Linked DNA regions of Struthio camelus. The protein of the gene in region 1 interacts with the protein of each later gene in a biochemical or structural test. Links are inferred from orthologs where the notes say so. Each region holds a gene or a part of one and is shown on either strand. Other genes may lie near its edges.

What was found.
Region 2: the proteins of LCAT (region 1) and APOA1 form a complex in vitro, tested with the Homo sapiens proteins (6 studies listed by BioGRID and IntAct, with this or other methods). The link is inferred for Struthio camelus from reciprocal best matches to the Homo sapiens genes LCAT and APOA1.

Annotation. Positions count from the first base shown.
Region 1 is NC_090951.1:24,508,635-24,523,604, reverse strand, and holds the start of LCAT (phosphatidylcholine-sterol acyltransferase), read left to right. Parts: upstream 1-8,819; 5' UTR 8,820-8,941; coding exon 8,942-9,089; intron 9,090-13,187; coding exon 13,188-13,344; intron 13,345-14,644; coding exon 14,645-14,760; intron 14,761-14,970. UniProt on the Homo sapiens protein: Central enzyme in the extracellular metabolism of plasma lipoproteins.
Region 2 is NC_090963.1:1,391,207-1,406,258, reverse strand, and holds APOA1 (apolipoprotein A-I), read left to right. Parts: upstream 1-8,652; 5' UTR 8,653-9,300; intron 9,301-9,573; 5' UTR 9,574-9,586; coding exon 9,587-9,629; intron 9,630-9,898; coding exon 9,899-10,052; intron 10,053-10,153; coding exon 10,154-10,751; 3' UTR 10,752-10,969; downstream 10,970-15,052. Other genes in the region: serine/threonine-protein kinase SIK3, read left to right, coding at 3,892-4,055, 4,339-4,471, 5,118-5,275; APOC3 (apolipoprotein C-III), read right to left, coding at 11,659-11,755, 11,835-11,961, 12,098-12,155; APOA4 (apolipoprotein A-IV), read left to right, coding at 13,171-13,340, 13,506-13,579, 13,694-13,820, 13,917-14,844. UniProt on the Homo sapiens protein: Participates in the reverse transport of cholesterol from tissues to the liver for excretion by promoting cholesterol efflux from tissues and by acting as a cofactor for the lecithin cholesterol acyltransferase (LCAT).

The DNA.
Region 1 (14,970 bases):
AGCAGGGCCTTGTAGCTATTCCACATATAGAGGGTTTAATGTGTAATGTAAAATTAATATAGTTAATATGTAATACCAAATTTGCTTATTTGACATTACACAGGATTTTGATTTAGTGGAGTGGTACAGCAACACACTTAAATCACAGCACAAGTACAAATTACAGTTAGCAGAGTATAGCAATTGCAATATGCAGTTGAATCACAATACAAATGTGGTTCTCATTGCTGTTCTCTATAACATGCCCACCATCAAAACACTGGGCATCCCCAGTGCCTGGAGGAATACATGGGTTTAAACTAACTTAAGCCTGTTACTCCCTTCAAACTACTCTTTCTTCTTCAGTTTTCATATTCTTTGTTGGGCTAAGCTGCATATATATACACACCTCCCCCCCCTGCTGATCTGGCTATTTCAGGAAGACGTCTGCACTCTTGATTTAGCTCAGGGACAAACAGTTTCACGGTGAGTTGATTCTCCCAGCTGATAATAGCCACTTGATCCACTCCACTCATATAGCCAGCTGGCCCACTCTGCTGACACACGCTGCTCATCCAGCCGTTCATCTAGAACAAAGGCACCCCCTCACTCCTATCTATGTTTCAGCTTTCTTTGCAAGAGTAGTGGGCAGTCACTCCCTATGTACTTCCCCGAGCTCCATGAGTGCAAAGCCCTTGCCTGTCTCCTCATAGCCTTCTTCCATTGTAAGAAGTCCACTGGCCAGCCATATTAACTCGACGTCAAATTATTTTAATGAAAACAAGCAAAAGGAAGAGTCATAATAGGCACAAGAAACAAGAAAATATAGAGAATATGGCAGAAAAAAAGCCAAAGGAACAGTGAATAGAGAAAAACAATGTCCCAAGACTGGATATATTTTACAGTGAATGGAACGCTGAGTAAAACAACCAATAAGTAAAATGAAACACTCAGTGAAATAGAATTTATTCGCTAAATGAACAGTGACAACGAGCAATGAACAGTCAAATTCAGGAACAGATAACATGGCTGCAAACTGAGAAGCAAAATGAAGAGTGACAAGAAAAACATACTAACAAGAAATCCAAAATAAACAATGATATCACAGAATCACAGAATCACAGAATCACAGAATCACAGAATCACAGAATCACAGAATCACAGAATCACAGAATCACAGAATCACAGAATCACAGAATCACAGAATCACAGAATCACAGAATCACAGAATCACAGAATCACAGAATCACAGAATCACAGAATCACAGAATCACAGAATCACAGAATCACAGAATCACAGAATCACAGAATCACAGAATCACAGAATCACAGAATCACAGAATCACAGAATCACAGAATGGTTTAGGTTGGAAGGGACCTCTAGAGATCACCTAGTCCAACACCCCTGCTCAAGTAGGGTCACCTAGAGCACATTGCCCAGGATCATGTCCAGGCGGGTTTGGAATATCTCCAGCAAAGGAGACTCCACTACCTCTCTGGGCAACCTCTTCCAGTGCTCTGTCACCCTCACAGGAAAGAAGTTTTTTCTCAGGTTCAGACGGAACTTCCTGTGTTGCAGTTTATGCCCGTTGCCTCTTGTCCTGTTGCTGGGCACCACGGAGAAGAGACTGGCCTCATCCTCTCGACACCCCCCCTTCAGCTACTGGTACACGTTGATGAGATCACCTCTCAGTCTTCTCTTCTGCAGGCTCAACAGGCCCAGCTCTCGCAGCCTTTCTTCACAGGAGAGATGCTCCAGTCCCCTCATCATCTTTGTAGCCCTCTGCTGGACTCTCTCCAGTAGCGCCATGCCTCTCTTGTCCTGGGGAGCCCAGAAGTGGACACAGTACTCCAGGTGAGGCCTCCCCAGGGCTGAGGACAGGGGCAGGATCACCTCCCTCCACCTGCTGGCAACATTCTGCCTAATGCACCCCAGGAGACCATTGGCCTTCTTGGCCACAAGGGCACATTTCTGCCTCAGGCTTCACTTGTTGTCCACCAGCACTCCCAGGTCCTTCTCGGCAGAGCTGCTTTCCAGTAGGTCAACCCCCAGCCTGTACTGCTGCATGGGATTATTCCTGCCTAGGTGCAGGACCTTGCACTTGCCTTTGTTGAACTTCATGAGGTTCCTCTCCACCCAGCTCTCCAGCCTGTCCAGGTCCCTCTGGATGGCAGCACAGTCTTCTGGTGTGTCAGCCACTCCCCCCAGTTTAGTATCATCAGCAAACTTGCTGACAGTGCACTCTGTGCCTTCAATCCAGGCCATTGATGGATACATTGAACAAGACTGGACCCAGGACTGACCCCTGGGGGACACCACTAGCTACAGGCCTCCAACTAAACTCTGCACCACTGACCACAACCCTCTGAGCTCTGCCATCCAGCCAGTTCTAAATCCACCTCACCGTCCACTCATCTAGCCCACACTTCCTGAGTTTACCTACGAGGATGTGATGGGAGACAGTGTCAAAAGCCTTGCTGGAAACTCGAACAGAAATTGCCCCAGCACTATCCCACCATCTGGTCTGGCTGGCAAGGTGCCACAGGCAAACAGTTTCCCTGGTCCAGAGAAGGAAGCACTGCCAGCACACCCCTGCAATGCTCAGTGCTGGCACTGGCACAGGCACTGGCACAGGCAGCTCCCTAATGGCTCCTATTCCTCCCTGCCAGAAATTGCTCTCCCCAGGGAACACAGCACTTTGTCCCCAGAGTTCCCTGGCAGCATGAGGGGCCTGCGCTGCCCTGTCCCCAGGCCTCACCAGCATGGTTATCTCGTGTGCTGCAGGCGATGCCTGTCACTGCTTCACAGGGAGCCTCCAGGTGTCTCACCAGCCATGTTTGGGGATTTCCTATGCATGACCTGCAAAGCCAGGCAGGGTAGATCATTACAGAGCATCACCTGTGCAGCAAGAAGCATCCCCGCCAGCACTGCAGGGGTGGGACAAGCCCAGCAGATGGAATAGACATCATGGACACATGGATCCTGCCCAGAAGGATAGGCATTCTGCACCCCAAGAAGGGTTCTGGCTGTGTCATGGGGTTCCAGCATGGCCACCTCCTGCTCAGCTCTCCTGGTGCAGAGGGGAGAAGGGAAGGACTGGCAGGAAATCTCTTCTTCTTGCAGGCACTCAGGCGCTAGAGTACATAGAACAGGGATCACTCCCAGCCAAGTTGGGGTACTCAGCACAACAGGACCCCATTGCTGCTGTGCCTTCCCTGCCTCATGCTGGGAAGAGGCCAAGCCCCATACCAGGCAGGACTTCAGCGCCCTGCTGCTCACCGTAAGGGACTGCAACATGCAGGATCTAGCCTTCAGCAAAAGGCAATGAAGCTCCCTCTGAACAACGTGCGGCTCCCAGGGTGACAGGAGATGCTGCTGCAGGGAAAGCTAGCGGCCCTGACACTGTCGTCAGCCCCATCGCCCCACTGCTGCCCCACAGCAGCCCCTTTGCCTTCCCATGGAGCCAGGCAGTCACTCACTGTGCCCCTTTCACCATTCCAGTCATAGCACCCAGGTTATTTGTGCTTTCAATGCCAGACGTTTGAGTGACCTGCAAGCATCTTGCTTTTTGCGCTGTTCCTTTGGAGGCAATTCAGGGTTTTTTATTTTTTTAAATGAATTCCCTCATTTTTCCAAAGCCCCTAGTCTTGCGTTATCACCCCACAGGGCATTTTGAGCGTCTTGGCTCACCTGGCCCAGCTCCACAGCAAAGCAGATGGTCCTGCTTCTGGGGGACCGTCCTCGTTCCAGCCTCCCCAGCATTGCCACCAACTGCTGCCCCGGCTGCCCTAATCATCCCCATCCAAGCCCTGGTCCTCATCCTGGTCCCTCTCCCGGTTCCACTCCAACCGGCACTTGGCAGGACAGCCCTCATCCTATACTCACCCGGGAGAGTGCAGACTCTCCACCCACAACAGCTCTAGAGCAAGCCTCTTTCCCCAGCTGGTTTTTATGCTGTTACACTGCATCAGCTCTATCTTCTCCCATACAACAGCCCTGCCTGTAGTACAACCTGCCAGGAGACAAAGCAGGGAGCCCCACTCTGGAGCTGTGCTTTGACTGGCATCTTTGGCTCAAATCCTGCTGGCTGGAGAGCCTCAAGCCTGACTCTCCTCCAACCCAGCCCCCAAGCTGCCTGGGGGCCGGCACCATGCCCAGAAGGGGAAACTGAGGCAGGGAGTTGATGGGGGAACAAAAAAGGAGAAAGAAGGGTAAACAACAGCCTTTTCACCTACCTCATAGGGAATATGTGTCTGGGGCCCATCACCACAGGATGCCCTGGCCAGAAGGTCAAGATGAGGTCTGCAGGAAACCCAGCGAGCTAGCATCAGTGATGGGGTGCCAGCAGGGGCTCCCACTGCCCAAATTAGACCAGGGCTCACCAAGGTGGAGGTGACTTGTGCCAGCAAGGAGCCAGCCAGCTTCCTCTAACGGGGAGCAGGACTCTGTCCAAGGCCCAGGGCTGCCTGTGGCGATCACACATGCCTCCTACAAGATGCAGTGGGGCTGCCATGACCACAGCTGCCACTGCTGGCATCTGCCAGCCAAGGTTGTCCTCATGGAAGGAGCGGTGCAGTGCTGGAGATCACAAAATGGGCCCATGTCCCCAAGGACCTTGCCAGGGTCTGACCCCAGATCCTATGCCAGGGATCTGGGGACACCTTCCCTGTCACCTCCGGCACTGGGAGCTGGGTCTTCTGGCCACGAGGCTCTTACCCAACCAGATGCATAGGGGCTTCACCGTCCATCCACTGGGATGCTACTGGCCGTCCAGCTTGGCCTTCAGCTGGCTGACACACAGCAGCTAGAGTTCCACAGGATGGTCCCCAAGAAGGTGAGAAAAGGGGTGAGGATGTCCTGCAGAGGGAACAGGGCACAGCTGAGCTCTTGATGCTGAGCCAGGGACACAAAGGACCAGAAGGCTGCTGTGGCAAGAGCAGCTGAGGGACCACTTAGATCCTGCCTGCTGCCACCCTCCTGGGCCCAGCAGGACCAAGGAGGACCAAACCCCATCCCCCTGGTCACAGGTGCCCTGTCCCAGCACCGGCCCCTGGTCTGCCTCCCCTCCTGCTGCCCCAGGGACACTCAGCACCTTGTACAGGCCAGAAGGGAATGCTGCAGACCCAGCCTCAGTGATACCTCCCCACAGCTGGTGCCACGCAACCCCCATGGACCCTGATGCCTGCTCCCACAGAAGAGCTGGGTAGCCCTCCTGCTGCCCCGAGTGGTGCATGGGGACCAAGCTGCAGCCCCAGCGCCATGTTGCCAGGGTAAGAATTGCCCCTGTGGCAATAGAAATGGGGCTGTGCCAAACCCAGGGGCCACAGGAGACCCGGCACGAGCAGACAGGGGCTCCCAGCAGCGTCCCTGCCTCAAAACTGGGCAGAGCCCCATCCCCAGCATCGCCCAGCTACCACTGCCTGGAGGAACAGCTCTGCAGGGGGAGGCCAACAGCCCGGTGGCAGGGTGTGCCCAAGCTTTCCACCACCTCCTGCCCCACTGTTCCCTCTCTGGAGACAGGGGTCCCCCCGGCTGGGCTGAGAGGTGTCAGCCAGGCAGGACATGGAAAGCATCTTGCCAGGGTAGGGGCATGCAGAAGAGCTGCTCTTCCCCTCAGCTATAGGATCAGACCCCTAGGGGAAGGTCAGGCCAGGCATGGGTCTAGCCTATCTTGCTGACTTCCTGCTAACACTTCCACTGTGCAGGATGTGCTACCAATAAAAGCAAACAGCTCCATTTCCTGCATCCCACTTCAGTGCCTGTTCTGCAGCCCTTGCTTAGGCAAACAGCCTAGCACACAGTCCTTGCTCCATACTGCTCTCAGGACCAAAACAGGGAGCACATCTCCTCTGCCCACCCTGTGTTGCAGGCAGCATGACCAGGCTCGGGCACACCAGGGCACATCTGTCTCCAAAGACAGTAGGCATCAGCCAGCAATTTGCATTTGGTAAAAGCGCTGCCTTATAAGGCCATGGTTCTACTGGGAAAATGAAATTTGAGGGGTGCCAGCTTCTCCTAGCAAACCACCGGCCTGCTAATAATTGCAGGGAAACCAAAGTAATACAAATAACCCAACTTCTGCTACTAAGAACCAGAGAAAGAAAAAGATGAAAAGCTGAGAGGGAGACTTGAGGAAGCCTTTTTCTACTTGCCTGGCCCAGACACAAACAGGGGCTGCACTGGGTTCAGAGCAGGCAGAAAACCTGCCCTGGCCAGGGGAGGCAGTCCCAGCACTGCCAGCTCTTGAAGGGCAGCTCCCAGCACTGCCCTTGACAGAAGGGGCAGAAGGGATCATATTTAGGAAGTTTGGTTTGTTTTTTCTTACCAGTTTCTCCAGTTTCCAGTGCTGGGTCTGCAATAAAAGCAAGATCTGGCCAGCTGCTCCAGCCATCGCTGAGCATCCTTCCCAGGCCGAGCTGGGAGGGATGAGGCCATGCGGAGCAGGATGGAGGGCTCCTGGGGGTCATGGCAGAGAGCGCTGGAGCCAGGGGAGATGCCTGGAGCTGCCTGCTACTGGCATGCTCCTGTCATGTCAGATGGTTAGTGCTGTACAGCCTGAAAGAGAGGGGGTGATGGCTCAGGTGGGACAGGACTGATTCTTCCTTTTCTTTCTCCTTCTGGCACTGGCCTGTGCCATACCTTGGGCCACAGCAGGACTTCAGCCAACCCCAGCATGACAGCAGCATCCCCAGGACACAGCCAGGGGCACTCCTCAAGGCCTGACCTGCTGGGGGCTCAGCCCTGCCCAGGCCCTACACAGCAGAGAGGCTTTGCTCTGCTGTCTGAAGGGCTAGGATGGGAACTCACTGCACTGCCCTGCCCTGCCCGGGTGCCAGGCTCAGTTCACAATGCCTTGGGGAATCTGCCCAATAAAGAGACTTCTCCTGACAACGCCTCTGCTTCTAGGCGCACGCATGACCATCATCAGTACTGAAAACATCCCCCTTTTCCCAGTCATCCCAGGACCCTGATGACACAGAGGCCCTTGCTTGGCCACCAGCTCCTGCAGGACCTAGTCCCAGCTCTCATACACTCAGGGGGTGGGGGAAGGAGGAAGGGGGGCGGTTGGAGCAGGGGGCTGGGCACAGCAGCAGGCCCACGTGCCCTACTCCAGACCCCTAAAGCTTTTCTTTCCCACATGCATGCACACATGGGTCAAACAACTCCTTTCTGAGGCTCCTTCTCAGCAACTCTTTCCTCTCACCAGCCACCACCTCCTCGGCCCAGGCAAGTGCCTGTGGAAGGCCTCAGGGGTCCCCGGGGAGCTGCCAGCAACCGGTGCCCCCTTAGCACCTCTCTGTGTCACTAGAGCCCCGGGGGGGCAGGGAGCTAGAGGACCCAAGGGAAATCCAGGCAGGGACTAGCTCCTCCGGGTGAGGGGGGCCATTTCCTGCAATCGCTGCAAACCAGCTACGCCTCAGCATCAGCAGGCCAGCACGGTGCTGCCAAGCACCTCACCACCAGCCCCAGGTTCGGCCCCAGCCTTCCTCTCCGGCCCCTCTCCTCGGGGAAAGGCCATCTCACACTGCCTCCTGCGCTCCGGGCCCTTCCCTTGCTGCTCCCGCCGCGCGGCGGCCCTACACCCCCACCAGCTCCTGACGGTGCTACCGACCCGCGGCCCGGCCTTGTCGGGCCTACGCAGAGCGAGACAGGAAACCGCAGGGCCCCGGAACCCGCTCCGCGGGAAGGGGCGGAGCGGGGCAGGGCCGGATATGCCCCGCCGGCGGGGCGGGGCCTGGGGCGCGGCGGGGAGTGTCGCGCCTGCGGAGCCCTCTTAGCTCGGGCGGGCGCGGTGGGGGATGTGGGTCTGCTCTTGCCCTGGGAGCGGCCCCGTGGCGCCGGGAGTGGGACAGGGGGTCCGGGACAGGGTCCTGGCCCCGCCCCGCCCCCCTCTTCGTGCCCCTTGGCCTGCCCCGGCCTCAGGCCGGTTCTGCGGGATCCCTGATTGGCACCGAGGGCAGCGGGGCTCCCTTGCCCCGGGACTCCATCCCGTCCCCGTCCTTTGCCCCGCAGAGCGGGAGCCACGCAGGGTGCTAGACCCTACCGGGAGGCAGCCCCACGGTGGGATGGTGGGGGGGCTGTTTGGGCAGAGCCCTGCCTGCTGACACCCCTTGCCCAGGCCCAGGCAAGGGGTCCCGAGCAGTCCCCGAGTTCATGCCGTGCTCCCCATAGGCTATTTCTTTCATCGTTCTGGCCTAGGGACTGCACAGAGGGATATCTTATGGGCCCTGCAGCCCTTGGTGTTCAACAAGTTCCTTCCAACGTGTTTTTGGCAGCAAGTCATGGCATGGCCCCTGCCTGGGAACGTGTTCAGGCTCAGCCAGTCCCAAGGTGGGGGTCTGACTGCCTGTGCCCAGGGAGGTGCATAAGTGGGCAGGATGGCAAGGGTGGCCATGGGGAAGCGGCAGTGCTTGTGAGGATGCTGGAGGAGCTGTGGGATATGCTGCTGCCATGGTGTGTGAGGGGCTGTCCTGATTTGTCCCAGCTGTGATGGGAACCTCTGAGGTTTGAGGTCTGCCTGGTCATGTCTGCAGTGCCAGTTGTCCTCCCACCGCTTACCCCCTCACTAAAGATGTGCAGAGGTGTTGTGTTCACAAATACACAGAGCGAGCACCCCGCAGCACACGGCAAAGGGACCTGCACAGTGGTCACAATCCCAGCACGCAGCTGAAGGCCACCTAAGGTACCACGAGGCTGCAAAATTTGCCTGCCTGCTCTGGCTTGCACCCACAGGCAGGGGTCCGGGGTGCAGAGAGCCCATGGGCACAGCAGGGTTGTGCTTTCAGGGGATAGCATGTCTGCAAGACCAATCCTTTGGCCCTCCCCGTCCCTCCTCCCCATCATGGCCAGCCCCTTGCAGCTCTCCCCTCCCCTGCAGCCTGGGTGCCTCTGGCCGGACCTGCGTAAAATATAAAAGGCTGTTTGCTTGGAGACGCTGAAAGGATCCCAGCCAAGTTTGCCATGGGGAGTACAGGCATTGGGGCTGCGCTGCTGACACTGTTACTGCTCCTGCAGCCCACATCCCAGTTCTGGCTCTTCAACGTGCTCTTTCCACCCACCTCCACCCCAGAAGCACCCCCGACCAACAGCACACCACCCGTGGTACTCGGTAAGATCACGCATGCTGGCCTACAACCTGCCAGCCCTGGCACCAGGCAGGGGCACAGCAGGCATCCTGGGCTCTGCTCGCTGGGGCGCTGCACAGCCCCAGAGCTGGCTAGAGGCAAGGCACATTGTTCCCGGCAGCATGGGGAACTGCTTGGCGTGTCTGTTGGCTGCAGTGGGAGGCTGCAACCCCCTTTGCAGTCTCTGGCTATCTTACTGTGCTGGTGGAGCCACCTCAGGGTGGTGACACAGAGCTCCCAATCCCGCACCTATCGGCAGTGCTGGGAATACAGGACCTGCCATGCCTGGCCACAGCTCTTCAGAGCCAGGAGGGCAGGCTGGGTACCCCAGAAAGCAAGTGGGGCTCAGAATATCAAGAGCTGGATAAAATGGTGTTTTGGGGCTCACTCCATTTGGGGGGGGCTGTGCTGGCATAGGGACAGGGCCTGCAAGAGACCCTAGTGCTGTGGCTTCCCACTGCTGCTGCTGCCATCCCAGTAAGCCTGTATCCACAACCTTGCTGCCCCCAAACCTGTCCCAATCCCCCATGTCTTTTGTTGCTCCATGATGATGGTTAATTTCATCCTCCCCTGCTGCTGAAGGGCATCCACCTCATGTTAGACCAAATGTCCACTCTTGCCTGGGGAATAGCATAAGGGTGGATGAACTAGCAGGCAGTTTCTCTGCTTAGCTGAGATGCAGAGAGAGGCAAAAGAAGAGGCCTGGGGAATCACCTCAGTGAGGTGGAGATCAGTTTTTGCCATGAAATCTGTTCTGAGCAGAGGTTTCTTCTCCTTTTTCTTGAATCGAACTAACTGAGTTTCCCTTTTAAAAAGAGAAGAGAAAAGCAGAACTGCCTGACATATGGCCTTGGACTGACACTATAAACTCACTTCTCCATGGGCAGGCCTCTGTGCTTGGGGGCAGCAGAGCAGCCTGCACAGAGCCCCACAGCCTGGCACATGGCAGGCGTGGGTCAGCCGTGGCCTGCCAGGCTCTTTTACTTAGTGGTTAAGAGGCAGCAGGATTAAAGAGCACAGCCTGGTGCACGGCATTGTATCTGGAGCCTGAGTGGTGCAATGCAGGCACTGCTTAGCCATGCCAGAGGTCAGGAGGACACAAGGAGGCCTGGTGGCTGTCACCATGCAGGGCAGGGAATGATGTGGTACAAGTAACCTTGTGCATCTTCTCAGGATGGTCTGTGGCAATAAAAGCTTCTCTACCATCCCACTGATAGGCCCTGCAAAATGGGGCAGGTTGGGTCTTCCCCCACAGCTGCTCTGACTGCCCACCAGCAGCTCCCCCAGACCCTAAACAACTCCTCTGCCTTGGCCTGGCCCCACAGGAATCTGGAGTCCAGGTCCGCACACCCCAGGGCAGGTGCCTGTAGCCCCAAGCCTTGCCTCCTCCGAAGCACCTGCATCTACTATCCCAGCAGAGGCAGTGCCCCATGGCACTGGGCTCCTGGTTCTGCCCTGTGCCCCCAGTGCCAGCCTCAGCCTTAGCCAAGGCTGGGGCACTCAGGCTGCTGGGGCTGCCCCTACAGCTGGTGCTGAGCCAACATGCCAGGAGCATGCAGTCAGCCAGGAATGCTGCGACCAAACACCCTGTGCGCCTGTCGGCATCCACATGTAGCCCATCCCCCTCAGCCGGGCGTCCCAGAAACCCCCAGTGCCCTTGGGACCAATGATAACCCCTTTGCCCCAACAGGAACTCCCTTAATAATTACCTAATGTCCTTTTTAAGGTGAGGCAGAGCTCAGGGCTGTGCACACCGGGAGCGTGGGGGCCTGGTGCCCACAGGGCCTGGTGCCCACAGACTGGGAGCCAGCTGCAGCCGCAGTCCAGCAAGGTAACAGGATGTCTGCCCCATGCCACAGGTGCTCCTGACAGTCCCTGGCACCTCTGGGAGCTGTTAGCCCTCTGCTGTGGCCCTGTGGGGCTCAGGGTGATTGCCTGCCGCAGGAGCTGCCCTGGACTCTTCTCTTGCTCTCAGAGCAGGTCTGGCAGCCACTCACTGTCCGCTCCCCTGCCTGTGCCTGGTGTCTCATATGCAAAGGTCCACTCGGGCACTGGGGAGGATATCCTGACCCCCACTAGGTGCTTTGGGGAAAGATGTCCTGACCCCCACCAGGTGATCTGAAGGCAGGATTAGGCCCTTCCTGTATCCCTGAGGAGCTACAACAGGTGCTAGGGAGCTATGAAGCAGGTTGAGCAAGGCAACCACCATATCCCATTCCCCGCTCACATGGGACAAGGCTTTCAGAGGCTGTGACTATGTTCTGCATCTTTTAGTTGGGGCCACAATAGGTGAGGTGGGGCTGGAACATTGGTCAGGGTGCCTTTGCACCCTTCTGCATGGGCACGTCTAGCTCCCCCGAACACCCACTCCCATAGGCCCCAGGGCACGGGGACACCTGGGCCTAGCAGGAGCTGGGGGAAATGTCCTGCTGGCATCTGACAGATGGGACACATCGTTCTTGGGTCAAAGACAGCCTCACCTGTGGCTGAATCCCTCAGCCCTAATGCCAGGGAGCATGGCTTACATCCAGCTGTACTTGTAGGGTCTTGCAGCCACAGCAGAGCCCTTCTCCAGGCTGCAGGCCAGCTCAGGGCAGGCATCTTACAAAGACATTTGGCCACAGTCCTGTTGTCGCTGCCACAGAGCGGTTTGCTGTGTCCTTGGGAGAAGTGATGTGAAGGACCACATCTTCCAGGGCCTGTGGAGGAGCTGGGCCAAGCCCAGGTGTCCCAGCCATGCCACCAGGCTCTTCCCAGCCCCATGCTCTCCCAGTGCTGCCGAGCGTAGAATGCCACGAGGCTCTGTTGCTGATACACTCAGTCAGCAGTGGGGAATCACCCTATCTGGTCACATGGTGAGCAACATAGAGGACAGTGCTTGCGGCAGCTTTAAGACATATGTCATTCCTCAGCAGATGTGTCTAGGGCCAGCCCTCACAGCAGGGTGGACCCACTGCAGCTGTAGGGTGCAGTCAGCACCCAGTGCTCCCATCCTCTCAGGCTTGCAGCCATGATGCCCTGCAGTCTTTTCACTTGTGCTCGCCCAACCCTTTGGGCCAGCACTGACATCCGGAGACAGCTCTCAACTCTTGCACACTGGCTGGGAACAACCTCCCAGCACGGGCTGTGGCAGAGCAGAGACATATTTCAGTGCAGCACAGCTTCCCAGCCCCCATCCCTGCCAAAAAAACAAACTGGACCTCCTGAAGGTGGACAGGGCGTCCTGGTGCTACATCTGTTGAGGGAGCCTGGGTCACATGTGGCAGGCCGTGAACCTGTTTAAAACAGCTTTGTGTTTACTGTAAGTGATATTTGCACTGAATTCCCACAGGGTACGGTCCTGCTCAGAGCTGAATCATTTCAGGGACCTTGTTCAGCCTGTGTGGAGGGTTTAAAGTTCAGGAAAACAGTGTGTGGGCCTTGGGCATCAGCACGGGGACAGCTTTCACCTTGGACGCCTCTTTGGGGCCTCTCCGTGCAGCCCCAAGCTGGCCTGCTACCGCAGTGCAAAATGCCTGGGGTGACAGCTGGTGCGATGCAACCACTTTCAGGGCAGGTGGTAGGGCTGGGTCCAAGCAGCACTGACTCTTTCCCTCAGGCTGGAGAGAAGAGAGGAGCATGGAAACCCATCCAGGCAGGGGGAAATACTCCAGGATGTTATGTGCTGGCAGGGAGTTACACCTTTGGGCTGATGTTGAGCCATTCGGTGAGGGTGCTTGTTCTCACGGTCATCCCCTGGTGGCCCAGTCTGCAGCATGTGCAGCAGGAGCCACAGGAAAAAGCAGTGAAGCGGGTCCCTGAGAGCCTGTTTTTAGCATGCTGCCGCTGCTTCCATGCTCACTCTGCATCCCAGCTCTGAGCAGCCCTCACACAAATTATGCATTGAAAGGACAAGGGGCTGTACAGGCTGTTCTCCATGGATGCTTCTCCAACTGCATCAAACAGCAGGTTCCTCAAGGGAGCCCTGGCTAGCGGGACTGTGGGAAGTGCTGGGTGCCCTGACCACTGCCTGGCCGAAGCAGCCCCACAGAGCCACCGAGATGAGGTCTAACTGCCTCTGTCTCTCCCTGTGGTGCCTCTAGTGCCTGGGTGCCTTGGGAACCAGCTGGAAGCAAAGCTGGACAAGCCAGATGTGGTGAACTGGATGTGCTACCGCAAAACTGAGGACTATTTCACCATCTGGCTCAACCTCAACACGTTCCTGCCAGTGGGAGTAGACTGCTGGATCGATAACACCAGGTACCACTCACCTCCCACCCAGGGAGCTCCCCAGGGAAATGACCTACCAAGGATCTCCCTCCCCTCTCCTCCCCACCTGGACCCGACCCAGCACACACAGGAAACCACAGGAGCATCTGCCTGGCTGAACACCCTGTGTGTGTTAACATACCTCTTTGGCTCCAGCTCTCATGGACAAACATATTCCAATTGCCCCCTTCCCGTTTCCCTGCCATGTGCTTGTTCCATCCAGACTATCCTCAGCACGTACTAGAGACACTGCCATCCTGCCTAGGGCAGCAGGGTGAGAGAGATGTCCTGTCCTGACCCCCGGGGTGGCTGGCGCTCATAGATCACAATTCATGTGCTCAGGCAGAGATATCAGCCTGGGATGAGACAAAGAGGCTCTAGAAGTACCTAGTCATTGAGAGAGGATCTGAATGATGGAAATGTAATACAGTAGAAGCTGTTCAGAGCTGGTCAGAGGAAACTCATGCATCTCCTCAGGGCAGGCAGGATTTTCCTTGTGCCATGATGCTGACCCAAGGAGGAGAAGAGCCCCCAGCTCTGGGATAGGCAGCTCCCCCAGGAGCCCTTCCTATGGCACCCCTTCCCACCAGCTGCACAAACAAATTTGCTGTGTGTCTGTCTGCACTACCCTTGCCAAGCATTGCAGAGGTGACCAGAGGTGTCCAGAGTATAGCGCACCCCCAGACACCCTCCTCATGGTGTGGGCAGGCCCTGGCAAGCAGCACAGCCCCCAGATCTGTCAAGGGGAAGCATTTGTGACATCCAGCAAAAAAAGCGCTGTTCAGGTACCTGGGATCCTTCCTGGGAACTGCTGCAGGGGCAGTGAGATGTGCTGGCAGGCCAAGCCTGTACCTTGGAGCCGTCCTTGCTGGGGGATGTCCTGGCGAGGACATCATCTACCTGAGCTACCTGCTCTCTGCCCTGGGAAGCCGTGGCCAACACTGCAGAGCACAGATTACATTCGGTCCTCAGCCATCTTGCCTCGTGCATTGTGGGTCCATCTGAGTCCCCACACACCAACACCACTGTAGTATGGGCTCATCTCAGCCTAGATCTGCTGAGCTGCACCCTGAGTGGTACAGCTTCAATCTCTTATAAGGATCCCCGAACAGGGAGCCCAAAGTAACAACATGGGGACATTGGCTCAATTGGCACCTGCAATCCATGTCCATGTCCTCCTATTTCCACACAAAACTGAAAATAGCCACCCAGATCCCAGCTGCCACCCAGTGATCTCTGCCCGTCCCCTGTGGAGTTGTCCTTGCTGCTACTTTATGTCCTTTCCCTGCAGGGTGGTGTATAATCGAACCTCTCGAAAAATGTCCAATGCCCCTGGGGTACACATCCGTGTGCCTGGCTTTGGCAAGACCTATTCTGTGGAATACCTGGATCAGAGCAAACTGGCAGGTGAGAGAGCCAGCTCTGTGGAGAGGCACAGGGTGCCCTGGGCTACAATGCATTCCATGCTCTTAGTCCTGAAGTGGAGCGGGGGTCCCTGTGCCCATAGGGTTCATCGTGGCCAGGTTCTGCAGAGCTGGCCAGAGCCCAGTCCACCTGGGAATGAGGAAGATTGGCCCCAGGAACATACTCCCTTCCTGCCCCAAGTCCTCCCACCGC
Region 2 (15,052 bases), on another chromosome or scaffold:
AGCGGACTCGTTGCGATGGCTGTGTACTGCGTGCGTTCCTGCTGGAGAACGGTCTCTGTCCAACAGGGCAAGGGTTTGTGGCGTGTTTTAAGTAGCGCAGAATTGTCTAGATTCTTCAAGCTTTTGTGGCCTTAGGTAAACTGCAGGCGCACCTCTCTGATAAGCAGTGAGGAGAGGAACCGGTAAATTAGGAGGGAACTGGACCAAGTTTTGGACTTTGAAACTGACCCCCTTTTGGAGCAGGTAAAGACGAGGTCCTAGAGTCCGGCTGCCCTTTCGGAGATGCTGCACACTGTTGTTTGTTCTCGTTGGCGACGTCTTCCATCCTCTGTGAACAATAGACTAGAAAGAGTTAAGTTACTAGCCTACCCCCAGCTGCAGTGGTGTACTTTTTCCACTCGTGAACAGCGTGAAGGAGTCCAGGCATTGCTAAAGCTTCAGTAAACATGTGCTGTAAGAGCAGTGATAAGTGCCTTCACAGCTAAGTCTGTCTTGCACTAGCTCCTCTGGCGCTTCAGAAAGCAGCGCCAGCAAGATTTTAGCCCTGCTTGAGCTATAAGGGGTTGGTTCTGAAGAAAGTGAAGTTTGCTAAACTTGTCACTAGCATCTGAAGACCTTTTCTCCCAGCTGTAAACAGTTGCGTCCTTGCTCCTTGGTGGCTGCTTTGGCAGTTATGTGCCGTAAGCGTAATCCCTCCCAGAGCTGTAATTACAGGCCTTCTCTGTATGAAAAACAAAATCCTACCTCCTCCTTAAGGTGGCTCTGAAGAGAGGCTTTCCAGGCTGAGGTGGGTAGACTGGTATGCGCTGCAGGCCTGAGCTGTGCTGGGTCTGAAGCCACCAGCTTTCCCTTGGCACAGAGACCCCGAGGGTAGAGGTGCTGTGCCTGGGCACAGGAGGCACTGCTTTGTCTGGGGGCGCACCGCAGGCTTGCTGGGAAAGGGACCGTGCTGGAAGAGACCCGCTCGGAGGGCAGAGCGGGCAGCCAAGGCTTCGGCCCCGCCCGGGATAAGGACAAGGCATGGCCTTTCAGAAGTGCTTTTAAGTTTTGGGTTATTGATGTGTTTTCTCTGTCAGACTTCAATTTCCCTGCTGTGCTTGAGGCACAGAAGGGAAGAATTACACCAGGTTAAGCAGAGTTTGCAAGCTCTGGAGCTCCTTTTTCTACTGAGCCTTAAGTTTATAGCCTAATATTGTAGGCATAGTTAGATGAGCTGTGTGTGAAATGCCAAGATTTAACGAAGTCGAGCCAAATTTCTGCCTCAGTACTGATGGTGCTAGAACCAGTTACACAAGGGAGGAGGACTTTAGACTACAGGACTTTGTAAATGAGTAAAAGCAAGTAAATGTTTACAAATAGTATTGTGTAAGCCCTTCTGACAGGGGCTGTTTGGAGGGCTCATGCAGTAAGCTATGTTCAGAGATCTAAGTGCCCAGACTGCTTTCCTCCTGCTTTTAATAACCCACTTGGAATCTGGCCTGTGCTACTTCAGTTCCAAATGGACTAGACATCTAAGCAGCCTAGTGCACTTATCTACAATTAAATCCTATAAAACCTCAATGTCAATACCACTAACGCGTGTTTGTTTCATTCAGTTGCTTATAGGGCAACCCAAATGTTATCAAGTGCCGTGCACCGGGCACTACAGAATGACAGGAGGCGATTTAAACCCAAACAAGCATGACACTGTTTCCTGGATGCCGCCTGCTGACTTGCCCTCCTCCCCGCACTGAAAGGCTGGCTTCCTCAGCCGTGTCTCTGAGCTATCCAGTTGTTTTCACTGTACCATTGTAAGAGGCTGCAACTTTTCTTGAAAGGACGGGTATCTCCTCTCCCTCCCCAGCTTATGTAAGGTGTGTTTTCTCCTAGGAAGTGGGTTGTAGCTTTGCAGCGCCTCAGGAGTATGTGTACCCTCTAAGGGACTTCAGTACTGCTTAATACTGAAATAATTTTAGCAGAGACCAATCAGGGACACTTGACTGAAAAGCCCTGGCTTGTCTGTGGAGCGTCCGCCCCAGTCAGTAACTGGAGATTGCGAGAGCGTCAACCAAATCGGTGTTTAGGATGTGACTAAGCTGCATCTGAAAGACTCTGCTACAGACTTGTTCCATTCTAGCTGTCACAAAGCACTGGGAATACTGCCCGTGGGAAAACTGCTTTCCTTGGCGCTCAGGGAACTGCCTGTGGTGGCACTGCGTGCACTGCCAGTGTCGCATGCTGCACCCATACACAAAGACCAGCTAGCGCAGGAGCCAGATCTCTCATGAATATGTGGATAAAAGGTATTCTTGCTGTGGGTTTGGTCTACTGGGATGTGACCGGAGTGAGGAAGGGAATGAGAATTCAGGCCTCCCTTCCTCTGCTGCCTGAGCTGGATCCTGAGAGAGGCGACCGACTGTTCTGGGAATCGGGAGTGCTTGATTTTTCCTCTGGGTCAGGGCCCTATTTGTCTGCAGTTGCAGCTCAAAGGGAGCCCTCTTGAAGGGGGGAGCCCCCCCCCCACACACACACTCCCTTGTCATCTTGGGAATGGGGGCTGCTAACGAGGGCTTGCTGCTGGGCCTCCTCATCTTAGCCCATCTTGCTCTGACAGCAGTTTTGCCCTGAAGTTGTTTGTTAAGCTGCAGGAGTGAGCTGCTGGCATCTGCCCACTCAAACCACCATTACCACAGTTGGAACAGCCGCCCGAGCAGTGCGTGGGTGGCACTTCTCTTCCCCGCTCTTTCCAACATTTTCTTTTCCAGTGCGCTTCGTGTTTTGTTTCTTACTTTTCCGGGAAGGCTGAACTGTTAACCAAACTTAACCTTGCGGTTGTGCAAAGGAAGAGAAAGGCCAGCTGTATTTCTGATTTCTCCCTGAAGTGGTTCTTGCAATACTGCAATATCTGTGACATAGGGTGGTGCCTTCCTACAGGGAAGGGCATTTAACTGATGTGCTGAAGATGTTCGCTTGCTGGCAAATAACGCTCAGATGATAGATTTGCCTCGGAAAGTTTTGTTTAGATTTTGGTACTTTTACAGACACATCTCCTTGGAGAGTGTATTTCTTGCACTTCCCAGTCTGCAGTCCCTGCCAAGAAGCGTGCTGCACCTGGCACAACTGGGGGACTGCTTCCTGCTGACCAGGTCCCCAAAAAACCTGACTAGATCTGGACTTGGGGATCTGCCTGCAGCCGTGTCATTTCTGGGTGACTCCTTAGTGCTTCTGGCCACGTCCACATGTTTGTGCTCTGAAGAATTGCTCACTGCAAGAGAGCTGTTTACAGGCATCCGAACGGATGATAGGATTCTCCAGAGCTCAGTACTTGATTCAAAACGTTGTGTACTTGATGACACTAGGTTCTGCTTGATAGGAATGTAGCCTTTACCCTCGGACATAAGAGCTTGCAGTGCAGGTGGACTTTGCCAGGCAGAGCACTCATGTACTCCTACAGCCAGATTGCGGGAGGGCAGGGAGAAGTCATCTGATAAAAGCTAATAGCTGGCACTCCTCCAGTAAGACTGTGTCGCTAGTAGTTGCCAAGTGACCCTGCTGGAACACCTCTGGTGGGAGGTTTGGGAGACACCTCTCCCTCCCCTCTTGTGTAGTGTGGGCGATGCAGGGGGGAGGAGGATGCAGGGTAAGCTTGGGCTCCGGGGGAAGAAGGCAGTGCAGGAGGGCGGTTGGGAAGGGACTGGTTTGCGTGCTGTGGTGCTCTTGCACATCACTTGAACAAGAACAGCCAGTTGATTACCTTTTCACTGGCCAGCAGCACGCTGCTCTTTCATTGATGAGCGCGTGTTCATGCCATCAGATCTCTGAGACCCCGCGGTCTTGTAATGGGGTATGTCACTGAGAGCTGCGGGTTCCTTGTACTAACCTGTCTCTCTTCTCTCTCGTCTGATTTTCAAGAGTCCGTCGTAGGGAGCTGTATGGACAGGAGTTCCCCTGGACAAGCGATGCAGGTGCCTGACCACAATGGATTGGGCTACCCTGCGCGACCAGCGTCCAGCGAGCATCCGCGGCCCAGGACCCTGCAGAGACATCACACCATACAGAACAGTGATGATGCCTACGTAGGTTTGAAGAGCCCTGTGCCTGGCGGGTCTTAAGACAGTGCAGAGCCTCCCTGAAGTGTATGGGTTACACGTGAGGTGTCCAATGTAGAACAGACAGCTTCCTGCTCTGTGCGGCTGCTGGGAATAAAATGCTGTGGGGGACACTTCACTTAGCATGCCCAGTTTGCTTAATATTGAAGCAGACTCCCCAGGCAGCCTGTCAGAAGAATCGGGGGGGGGGGGGAGCAGCAGGGTGTGTCTTTCCGAGCCCCTTTTGACTTGCGTCCCCTTGTCTCCGCAGGTGCAGTTAGATAACTTGCCTGGAATGAGTTTAATGGCAGGAAAAGCACTAAGCTCTGCTCGGATGTCTGATGCTGTCCTCAGCCAGTCGTCACTCATGGCCAGCCAGCAGCTGCGTGACAGGGAGAGCGAGGGTAAGGACTCGCGCCAGGCTGTGGAGGCATCTCCTGGAGGGCACAGGACGCTGGGGGTGTGGGTCAGGAATTGGAAAGAGTCCGCGTCGTTCTGTCGGACAGCTGGCAGTCTGGGCTGCAAAGCCACCTCCGCTTCATTCGAATGAGCGGAGCCTGCAGGGTGCAAGGTGGGGGCACAGGCTGCAGGGGAACCCGTGCTGCTTGAAGGGTGGCTGAGAACGGGGTAATAGATGTGCTTCGGCAGAGCTGTGGCAACTGAAGGGTTGGCCACCGCTCGCGGGCAGGAGCTCGCCGATATGATCGTGTCCGTCTCTTAATACTCTTTAGATAAACTGAATTAAAGAGAACTTCAGTTTCTCACTGTACTTGAGGCCTCGATGGATGCTTCAGCCATCCCTCTTCCCCTCCCACCCCTGCAACACCAACGTTCTTTGAACGTGAGCCTGTAACGGCTTGCAGAGCTTCCCTCGCTGCTGCTGTCTGCCAGAGCCCGGACGTGTGGCAACAGTGATCTAGACTTCCTGGAGGAACGTGGGCAACCTCTCCAGCTGGCCTGATCCACAGAAAGCAGAATCTGCAGATCAGCAGAAACTGTAACTCCATAGCGCGCTCTGTACGAACTTGACCTCGTGTTTTGATCTTACAGAATGCGGGGAAAGTTTGGAAGGTCAAGAGCATCCCAGCTTGGGCGATGGTAACCAGCATCTAAACACCTCTTGTTACCCATCGACATGTATTACAGACGTCCTACTGAGCTACAAGCACCCGGAGGTGCCCTTCGGGATGGAGCAGGCAGGAGTGTAACAAGGAGGAAGTGAGTATTCAAGCCGCCTCCTTCTCCCCTCTGCCTGCCTGCCCGCTCCAGGGTTGCCTTGGTGGCAGACCCGCAGGCCCGTTGGCCTGGCTTCCCTGTGTGCCTCCTTCCCTGTGTCAGCTTTTGCTCTAGTCTTGGCGCAAGTCTGAGGAAGAGACTGTCAGCTGCGAGCCTCTGCCCTCGTGGCTGTCTGCTGTTGCCTGCGGTCACCCAGGGACAGTGCCCCTTCCTCTATTTTTGTGCTGTTGTTCTGTTCTGGGGCAGAGCTTGTGGGCCGGACTGGGACAACTGGTAAAGGGCTGGGGAAGCAGAATTGCCTTCCTGTGGTGTCCTTTAACACATCCCTGCTTCTTCTCTCTCTTTTGCAGGTTTTATGTACAGCTTTGAAATGAAAAGGTCCATTTTAAACCAACAGTATCTAGCAGCATTGCGCCAAATTGCCGTAGTATTTCTGACTAACTGGAATACCATGGCCCCTTTCCTCATAATCAGTTCATCCAGTGTGTTGTTCCTTTGGTTTCTTTAATTTTTGCCATATTTGCCTGTAACTCCAGCTATCACAGAAATAGCAAGAGAACCCGAGTCCTACACGTTGGCAGGGGATTCACAGAGCCCGCGCGCTGTGTCTGGTTTCGAGGGCTTTTACTGTCCGTGGCCAGGCAGGCCCGAGGGGGGCGTGGGGCCGCTCTCGCCCTCCGCCCGTCTCTGCTCGAGGGCCCGGCAGCAAGCCGGAGCGGCTGGGCCTGCCCTCCGGAGCCTGCCTTGGCGGGGAAGGGACGAGGCAGGTGGCAGCGCAGCAGAGCTGGGGCAGCCGGTCTCCGTCTCGGCGCAGAGCTGGCTCCAGGCGGCTGGAGGCTGTGGTGTCCTTCCACCTTTTAACCCTTTGCACTGGGGAAGGGCCCGGAGCGACCTGAGCGTGGGAGCAACGCGAGGAACGGACGTGCCAGCCTGCGCGGCCCTCCTGGGGCCCCCAGCAGCCCCCGGCGCGCCCCGCCGCCGGGCTCCGGCAGGTGGGGGGCGCCTGGCCCTGGTGCAATACGCTTTTCGTCTCCTCTTTGTCTGCTTTCGTTCTTTATTTCATTTTGTCACTGTGTAAAAGGATCACTTCTCCCCCCTCCCCTTGTTTACCTTTTCTTTTCAAATCCATGTACAACCCTTTTTTTTTTCTCCCCCCCCCCCCCCCCAGCTTAATGTAGGGAAGACAGATTTTCTTTGTTTTCTTAGCTCTTCCTCCTGATCACGTAGGAATTGTTTTTTGGTAAATGTTGTTTTATTATTATTGTTATTAATAAAAGGCAAAAGGAATTTCTGTTTGAGAGAAATTTTTAACTAGATTCTGTTCTATATGAATTGTGACTTGCACCTTTTGTTCAAAGTATTTTATTTCTTTTAATGACATTGTAATTGTGACTGGTTTTCTCTCTCGTGCCAGTGGCGGAAGTGGTATTCTCCTTTATACAGTTCAAATGTGCATAGGTCTCCTCTTTGTTCTTCTTTTAATTCTTTCCTTGAGTGATAGAAAGCAAAGCGCCCTGCAGCAGTCGGGGCTCGGGGAGTACGTGGTGTCATCGTTGCCTTTGGAACTTTACGCGCTACGACAGAAATCCTTCTTATTGACACTTTTTTGGAATTTTTTTTTTTTAAAGAAAAATCGATCCAGCCCTCCTGAATTTGCACAGAAGGAAGTGTGAAACCAGCATGGCAAAGGTTAATTTGCTACCGTTACCAATGCCTCTTCCCTGTCCTCCCTCCTCCTCCTCCTCCTCCTCCCCCTGCCCCCAAAGAAAATAGTGCTCCATGGATCTGCAGTCTCGAAAACCGGAAAGGAGAAAATTCTGCAGCTGACAAACAGCATCTCCCGGGTCAGCGTTTCTGCTGAAATGCTAGTGTCGCGCGAGTGTTGGTGGTGTATAGCTATCGAGTTACGTTCTTAACCTTGTGAACTAGGTGGCATGTGTGTGGGGTCGGGGGGGATGCGGGGAACCAGGCAGGGCTTGCCGGACTTCAGCGGGAAGATACCAAGAAACCTTTTGCTCTGTACCTTTGATTTGTTTTTCTTTTGTTTACATGACACTGTATTTCTGGGAGAGTTGACAGCCACCCTACAATAAGCATCCAAAAAAAGCAGGGACTCGCTTAACCGTGCCATTTCGCAGTATCACACTTTTTTTTTTTTATCATTGCTTTGTATTGTAGTAATCAATACGCGCAGTATATGTTGAATGTATATTAATATACTTTGCTATTATTTCTGTTTTTTGGAAATGTCAGAAGTATTTTTTCTTCCTCATTTATGTTGGACTAAAAGTTTCAGTAAAATCTTCAGTCCATTTTTTTGTGGGTCACTTGCAACTAGTCAATTAGTTGGACAGTGGGATCATGACAAATAAAACCATGATTACGACCTTCTGTGGCCTCGTGTTTGCGTGGTTGCTCAATGCTGGCTCCGCAGGGGGGACGGTGGGGTGAAGGCTGCGGGCGCTCTTCGTGCCCAGCCTGCTCCGGGGACCCCAGCTGCTGGGGGCGGCAGGGGCCCGCGCGCTGCCACCTCTGCAGCCCGGCGAGGTGGCGTGCGCCTGATGGTGCCTGGGAGCGAGATGTTTTTCTGAAATCGCTGGCTGACGGTCCCTGCCCCCCCGCAGCACCGTGACCTCCAGCGGGGGCAGGTGGAGCGGAGCTGCGCCGCGGCTGACTCATCATGCGGCTGAGTCGTGTGCAGCCGCGGCGGCTTCCTCCCGCGCCGACCGCAGCGGAGCGGCTGCCGCTGCCGCCGCCGCTCCAGGCCCCCAGCGCAGGGGCGAGGGTTGGCCGCCAGCAGCCAAGCTGGGCACCTCCAGCCCACGCCGCAGCGCCCAGCCCTGCTGCCTGGGCTGCGCGGCCCCTCCCCAGCTGGGGTCCGCTCCCTCACCCTCTACGTAGGGCCTCGTTGCCACGCTGGGATCCTTGCTGCTTTCTCCATCCCTCTATTCCCTGGCTCCCCAGTTCCTCGCCTCGAAGCGCGCCGCCTCCGTGCTGGAGCAGCCCTGGCAGCTGCCTGGCCGGGGCAAGCACCCAGCAGAGCCGCCTGCCCGCCCTGCCTTATGCCCCGGCAGGCTGCGGCTGGGCTGCTGCCCCCCTCCACGTCCCTCTTGGGGCAGGGAAGGGCAGCGCTGGGGATTGCACCCGCTTTGCCACGTACGTCCTGCTGAAGCCGGGCTTTCGCAGGAGCCGCGCCGCTCGGGGGCAGACAGCCTGAGGCCCTTCGGCTGGAGGGCAGGAGCTGAGATGGGCGCGGGCCGGGGTGGAGAGCTGCGGAGAAGGGGAAAGCAGCTCTCTCGCGATGAGGGAAGGGAGCTGTGCTTCCCGAGCATCCCCGCGAGGCTGCGGCACCGCAAGGGACGGGTGCCGGGGGATGCCCTGGGCGGCCGCGCTCTCCAGGGCGAGCCTTTGCCTGGCCCTGGGGAGGGCTGGAGCGAGCACGCAGGCAACCCTGGCTCCGGGCTGCATCGGGAAACGGGGGGCTCTCGGGGCGACGTGGCCAGCGTGGGCCTCGCCGGCTCGGGGGAGGATGGGGCAGCAGCCTGCGATGGTGGAGAGAGGAAGACGAGGGGTTGGGGAGCAGCAGGCCAAATCCCTGCAGGTATAGACCTTGTGCCCGGGCTCCTGGCCAAAACCCGGGGGCTGCCGAGAGGCCCTGGTGGGGCCGAAGCAGCGTGCAGGAATCTGGGTCACCCGGCGCGTAAACAGGCTGCTTGGCGTGCGAGCCGCGTGCCGCGGGGAGTTCCTGTTTGCTCGGCCGCCCCTGCCAAGTCGGCGCTCCCGGGCCGCGCTGGCCCGCGCCGGGGCTGTGCGCACGATCCTTGAACTCTGCGCGCCACCTCGCCCGCGCCGCGGAGCGATTTCTCACTCGGCGGCGCTGCCTTATCTCCGGCGAGAGCTGCCCCCTCCTGCATAAATAGCGGCCGTGGGGAAGCGGCGGGCTCACACGGGACGGCCGGAGCGGAGCAGCAGCAGCAGCAGCAGCAGCAGCCAGCTGGTAAGCGCCTGCGCTCCCCCGGCCGCCGGCGCGCCGGCCCGGGCTGCCTCCTTCGGCGGGGGCCGCCCCGGTCTGCCGCCCGGCGTCCCGCCGTGGGGCGTCCGCCTCGGGGCAGGGTGTGCCCGGCCGGTGCCTGGCTGCCCCGGCCGCCCCGGCGAGGCCGGGGGGCTCAGCCGGCGCTGCGGCCGTCGGGGCCGGCTGCTGAGCGCCGTTCCCGCCGGGACGGGCCTTTCCCGGTGCTGCCTGCACCCAACCGTCTCGCTCTGCCCCCAGGTTGAGCCCGAAGATGAGAGCCGTGGTGGTGGCCCTCGCCCTGGTCTTCCTGACGGGTAGGTCCGAGCGGCGCCGGGGCAGCGCCGGGCGCAGCGGGGAGGCTGCAGGCGCCCGGCCGCGGGGCAGGACGGGGCAGCCCAGCCCGCGCGCGCCGCGCTGGAGGCGGCCGACTCGCAAAGCGCTTTGCCGGCTCCACCGCAGCCGAGCGCTTCCCGCAGCGGCCGGCCCCTTGCAAGCGGGGCTTGGCCCGGCGCCGCGGCGGGGACGGAGCTGCCACGACCCCCCCGGGCGCTCTGGCCTCAGCACGGCGCGCTCTGCCCCGCAGGCACCCAGGCCCGCTACTTCTGGCAGCGCGATGAGCCCCAGACGTCCCTGGACCTCCTCAAGGACATGGTGGACGTGTACCTGGACACGATAAAGTCCAGCGGCAAGGATGCCATTGCCCAGTTCGAGGCCTCTGCTGTGGGCAAGCAGCTTGAGTAAGTGGGGTGGGTGGGTGGCGGGGCATCCACCGGGGCCACCGGGGCCGGGTGCCCGTGCGCCCGGGCCGTGCGTGACCCTGCCGCTCCGCTCTCCCTAGCCTGAAGCTGGCCGACAACCTGGACAAGCTGAGCGCGGCCGCCACCAAGCTGCACGAGGACATGGCTCCCTACTACAAGGAGGTGCGGGAGATGTGGCTGAAGGACACGGAGGCCCTGCGCAAGGAGCTGAGCAAGGACCTGGATGAGGTGAAGGAGAAGATCCGGCCCTTCCTGGAACAGTTCTCGCAGAAGTGGACGGAGGAGCTGGAGCAGTACCGCGAGCGCCTGGCGCCCGTGGCCCAGGAGCTCAAGGAGCTCACCAAGCAGAAGGTGGAGCTGATGCAGGAGAAGCTGACGCCGGTGGCTGAGGAGGCGCGGGACCGCCTGCGCGGGCACGTGGAGGAGCTGCGCAAGAACCTGGCGCCCTACAGCGAGGAGCTGCGGCAGAAGCTCAGCCAGAAGCTGGAGGAGATCCGGGAGAAGGGCATCCCCCAGGCTGCCGAGTACCAGGCCAAGGTGATAGAGCAGCTCAGCAGCTTCCGCGAGAAGATGACGCCCCTGGTGCAGGACTTCAAGGAGCAGCTCACGCCCTACGCCGAGAGCCTCAAGGCTCGCTTCATCAGCTTCCTGGACGAGCTCCAGAAGAAGATGGCCTGAGCCCCATCCCACTCCCGCTGCCCCCAGGCCCCACGGCCACCCCCAGCCCTGCCCCGGCGCATCGCACCTGGGGAGGCCGCAGGGACCGGCCAGCCCCGGGGGCTGCTCCGCGGGGCCCCCCGTCCTCCTGCTCGCCACCCTGCCCTCCCCGAGCCGGGGTCTGTCTCTGCTTTGCCTTTCTTTTGTCAAATAAACATGACTTAAGTTATTGGAGCTCACTCAGTCTTTGCAGTGGATTCTGGAAGCGGGGCGGGGGGGGCAGGCCGCCTGCGGGCACTCATGCCATGAGCGGGGTCGGGGCTCAGCTGCACCCTGAGCAGCGGTGCTGCGACAGGGGGCTAGGGAGGGGGTGCTGCGGGATTTGGGGGCTGCAGGGAGCCGGTCGGGGTGGAGGGGCTGCAGCCCCCGCTGCGGGGAGCCCGCAGGGTGGGTGCCCCGGGGGGCTCCCTGCTGCTGCGGCAGCCCGTGAGCCCGCGGGTGCCCGTCTCGGCTCTGCCCAGGGTGCAGCGGGGCTCGCCGCTCCCCCCGTGCTGGGCGGCGCAGCGGGGTGGGCGACCGCGGGGCAGCGCTGGGCTGCGTGCCGCGGGCGGCTCTCCCCGCGCTCGGGCCGCGGTGCGCCGCCACCGGCCGCCGCTCCCCGGCGCATCGCCGCCCCGGGGCCCGCGTGGGGCGTTGGAGCGCGCCGCTCGCCCGGCCCCGGCGCAAGCGGGCAAGGAGCAGCCGCCGGGCGCCGCCGTGCCCAGCCCGCAGCCGGCCCCGCCGGGCGCCCCGCGGCCCCCCGCGCCCCGCCAGTGACCCCCGCCACATCCGTCTCGCTTCAGCTCCGCTTTATTGCCGCGAACGCGACGCGGCCGGCGCGCTGCTCCGGGGGGTGCCGGGCGCCCCCGCTCCGCTCGGCGCGGAGGGGCTAGGAGGCCGGCGTCCGCTTCCACAGCTCCGTCAGCTGCTCCTTCAGCCAGGCCAGCTGCTGCCTCGCCAGGGCGGCGTTATCCGCCAGCCATTGCCTGCAAGGGGACGGACGGGCCGGTCAGGGCCGCCGGCGGCTCGGCCGGCCGGGGGGCGCGGGGCGGGCGGCGGGGGCACCTGGCCTGCTGCGCCGTCTCCGACTCCCGCACGGTGGTGAGGACGCTCCTGGCCACCTCGGTGGCCTGCTGCACGTACTCCTGCACCTTCCTCACCAGCGCCGCCGGCTCCCCGGGCGCCTCGGCCCCTGCAAGGCAAGCCCCCGTCGGAGGGGGCGGCAGGGCCCGAGCCCCGGGGCCGTGCCGTCCCCGTGCACGCGCCCCGGCGCCCCGCGCGCCCCCGGCCCCGTCCTTCTCTGCCGCAGCCCTCGCCCGGCCCCTTACTTGCTCCCGCCGCCAGCATCGCCGTGCAGAGGAGCGCGAGCAGGAGCGAGACCTTCATGGCTGGGGAGAGAGGGCGGCGGGTGGCGCGGGGCGGCAGGGCTTGCGCCGGGGCCTGGCGCCTCGGGAAGGAGGCGCCGGCAGTGCCGACCCCGTCCCCCTGCCGGGCGCCCCAGCCCGGCCGCCCCGCTCACCTGGCCGCGCTGCGCCGGGGGCTCTGCGACGCAGGGGCAGCCCCGGCCTCCCGCTTTATACCCTCCGCCACAGCCGCCTCCGAGGGTGTTTGTGCAAAGGTCAGCGGCTGCGGCCGGTGGGGAGAGGAGGGCGCGTTTACGGCCGCTTTTCCAGCCGCCCGGTTTGCTCTGGAGGGGCCTGCCTTCCCCTCGCGAGTTGAGAAATCCCCCGGCGCCCGGGGGGCCAAGGCCGCTGCCCGGGGGCTGGCTGCCACGTGTGCATGCGTGCACACGGCTGCGGGTGCGTGTGCCCGGCCGCCGTGCAGGCTGCGGGGCCCCCGCCGGGGCGGCAGGCCCCGGGGTGCCCCGGGCAGGGGCAGGCCTGGGGCTGCGGCACGCGGCCCCGGAGCTGGGGCTGTGCCCCGGGCTGCCCTGGCTCGGCCGCCGGCCCTGCCGTGGGCGAGGCGAGGTGGCCGCAGGCTCTTCGGACATCAGCGTCGCTGTCCCCTCGCTAATCTCCACCTCCGCCAGCCTTGGACTTCGACCCAGCCGGGACACGTCGCTGCTGCTTCCAGCCCGCAGCGGGTCCCCCGGGGCGCGAGCTGGCCCCAGCCGGAGGGTGCACCCCCCAGGCATGGCCTGGGAGCCCCGCGGCCCCCGGCCAGGGCACGCGCGGCTCCAGCCCCGCTCAAGGGCAGCAGCGTGTGCACGGCCCAGCTGCTCCCTTGGCTCTGCCCTGCGGCACTCGGTGGCCGCCAGCACGGGGTCCCCGCGGTGTCCCCAGAGCCGCTGCCCCGGGGAGGGTCCGAGCCTGCCCCGCGGCGGGGGACGCGGGGGCTCAGCCGGGGCAGCCTGGCGGCGCTGGCGCTGGCGCCCTGCCGGGAGCTGGCAGGGCTCTCGGCGATGACAGCGCCGTGCACACGTCAGGCGCTTCCACGTCGCGACCTTGCTAAAGTCCAAGCCGGGGAGTGTGTCACAGGCCCGCGTGGATGCCGGCGCGGGTGCTGCTGCCGTATAAATACGGGCTGGGTGCACCCCGGCACGGCAGGTACCGGAGCCCGGCAGCAGCACAGGTAGGGCTGCGCCTGCGGAGCTGGGGAGGGACCGCTGGGAGCGTCACTGGGTGCATCTCTGGGTGCATCTCCGGGTGCATCTCTGGGTGCATCACCAGGAGCCCGGGTGCTGCACCAGGGCTGCCCGCTCCCGGGTGCCTTCATCTCCGCTCTCGTCTCCCGCAGACGCCGCCGTGCCCCGCCGCTCAGGATGTCTCCGAAGGCTGCCACCCTCGTGCTGGTGCTCCTGGCGGTCGCAGGTGAGGGGCGGGTGGGTGGGGGCCCTGGAGGGCTGGGGTGCCCCAGCCCCGGTGGCGGTGCAGGCCCCGCGGGGACAGGCCAGCCCTGAGCCCCGCGTCCCCACGCCCCCCCAGGCTCGCGGGCCGACGTCAGCGCGGACCAGGTGGCCAGCGTGCTCTGGAAGTACTTCACGGAGCTGGGCACCAATGCCAAGGAGACCGTGGACCAGCTGCAGCAAGCCGAGCTCACCAAGCAGCTCAAGTAAGTGGGGGGGGGGGGGGGGGGGGAAGGTGGCCCCGCGGGGGCTGGCCGGGGTGGGTGCAAGCCGCAGGGCGCCTGACCCCCTCGTCCCCGCAGCACCCTCCTCCAGAGCAACCTGGAGAGCGTCAACTCGTACGCGGCGGACCTGCAGCGGCGCCTGGTGCCCTTCGCCACGGAGCTGCAGGCCTGGCTGGCGCAAGACTCGGCGCGGCTGAAGGAGCAGATCCGGCAGGAGCTGGCGGAGCTGCAGGCCAAGCTGTCGCCCTTCGCCGACGAGGTGCACCAGCAGATCGGCACCAACATCCGCCAGCTGCAGGCCAAGCTGAGCCCCTACGCGGAGGAGCTGCGCGCCCAGGTGGACCGCAGCGCCGGGGAGCTGCGGCGGGCGCTGGAGCCCTACGGCGCCGAGCTGCGCGAGCGGCTGGGCGAGCACGCCGGCAGCGCCCAGGCCTCGCTGCGCCCCTACGCCGACCGCCTGCAGGAGCAGATCGACAGCGGCGTGGAGAGCCTGCAGGGCCAGCTGGCGCCGCTGGCCGACGGGCTGAAGGCGCAGGTGGAGCGCAGCGTGCAGGAGCTGCGGCGGGGGCTCAGCCCCTACGCCCGGGAGGTGCAGGAGGGCCTCGAGCGGCAGCTGGCGCGCCTGTCGCTGCAGGCGGAGCGGGCGGCGGCGGAGCTGCGCGGGCGCCTGGCGGCCAGCGGCGAGGAGCTGCGCGCCCAGCTCAGCCCGCTGGTGCAGGAGCTGCGGGAGGCGCTGGCCGGCGACGGCGAGAGCCTGCACCAGCGCCTGGCCCCGCTGGCCCAGCGCCTCGACGAGCGCGTGGGGCAGACGGTGGAGGCTTTCCGGCGGCAGGCGGCGCCCTACGGCGAGGCCTTCGGGCAGCAGCTCGTGCAGCGGCTGGAGGAGCTGCGGCAGAAGCTGGACTCGGGCACGGCCGGCGCCGAAGACCACCTCGAGCTGCTGGAGAAGGAGGTGCAGGAGAAGGTGGCCTCCTTCCTCAGCGCCGCGGAGCAGGCCGAGAGCTGAGGGCCACCGAGCCGCAGCCCGCGCGGGGGCAGAAATAAACGGGAGCCTTGTGGTGCACGCCGTGTCCGTGTCTGCATCCGCGTCCGTCCCGCAGCAGCCGGCAGCGATGCTGCCCGCCCCGGGCTGGGGCACAAGGCCCTACCCCCTTCGCCTTCGCCGCCGAGCCCTGGCGCCGGGGCCGGGCGGGCTGCAGAGGCAGCCGAGGTGG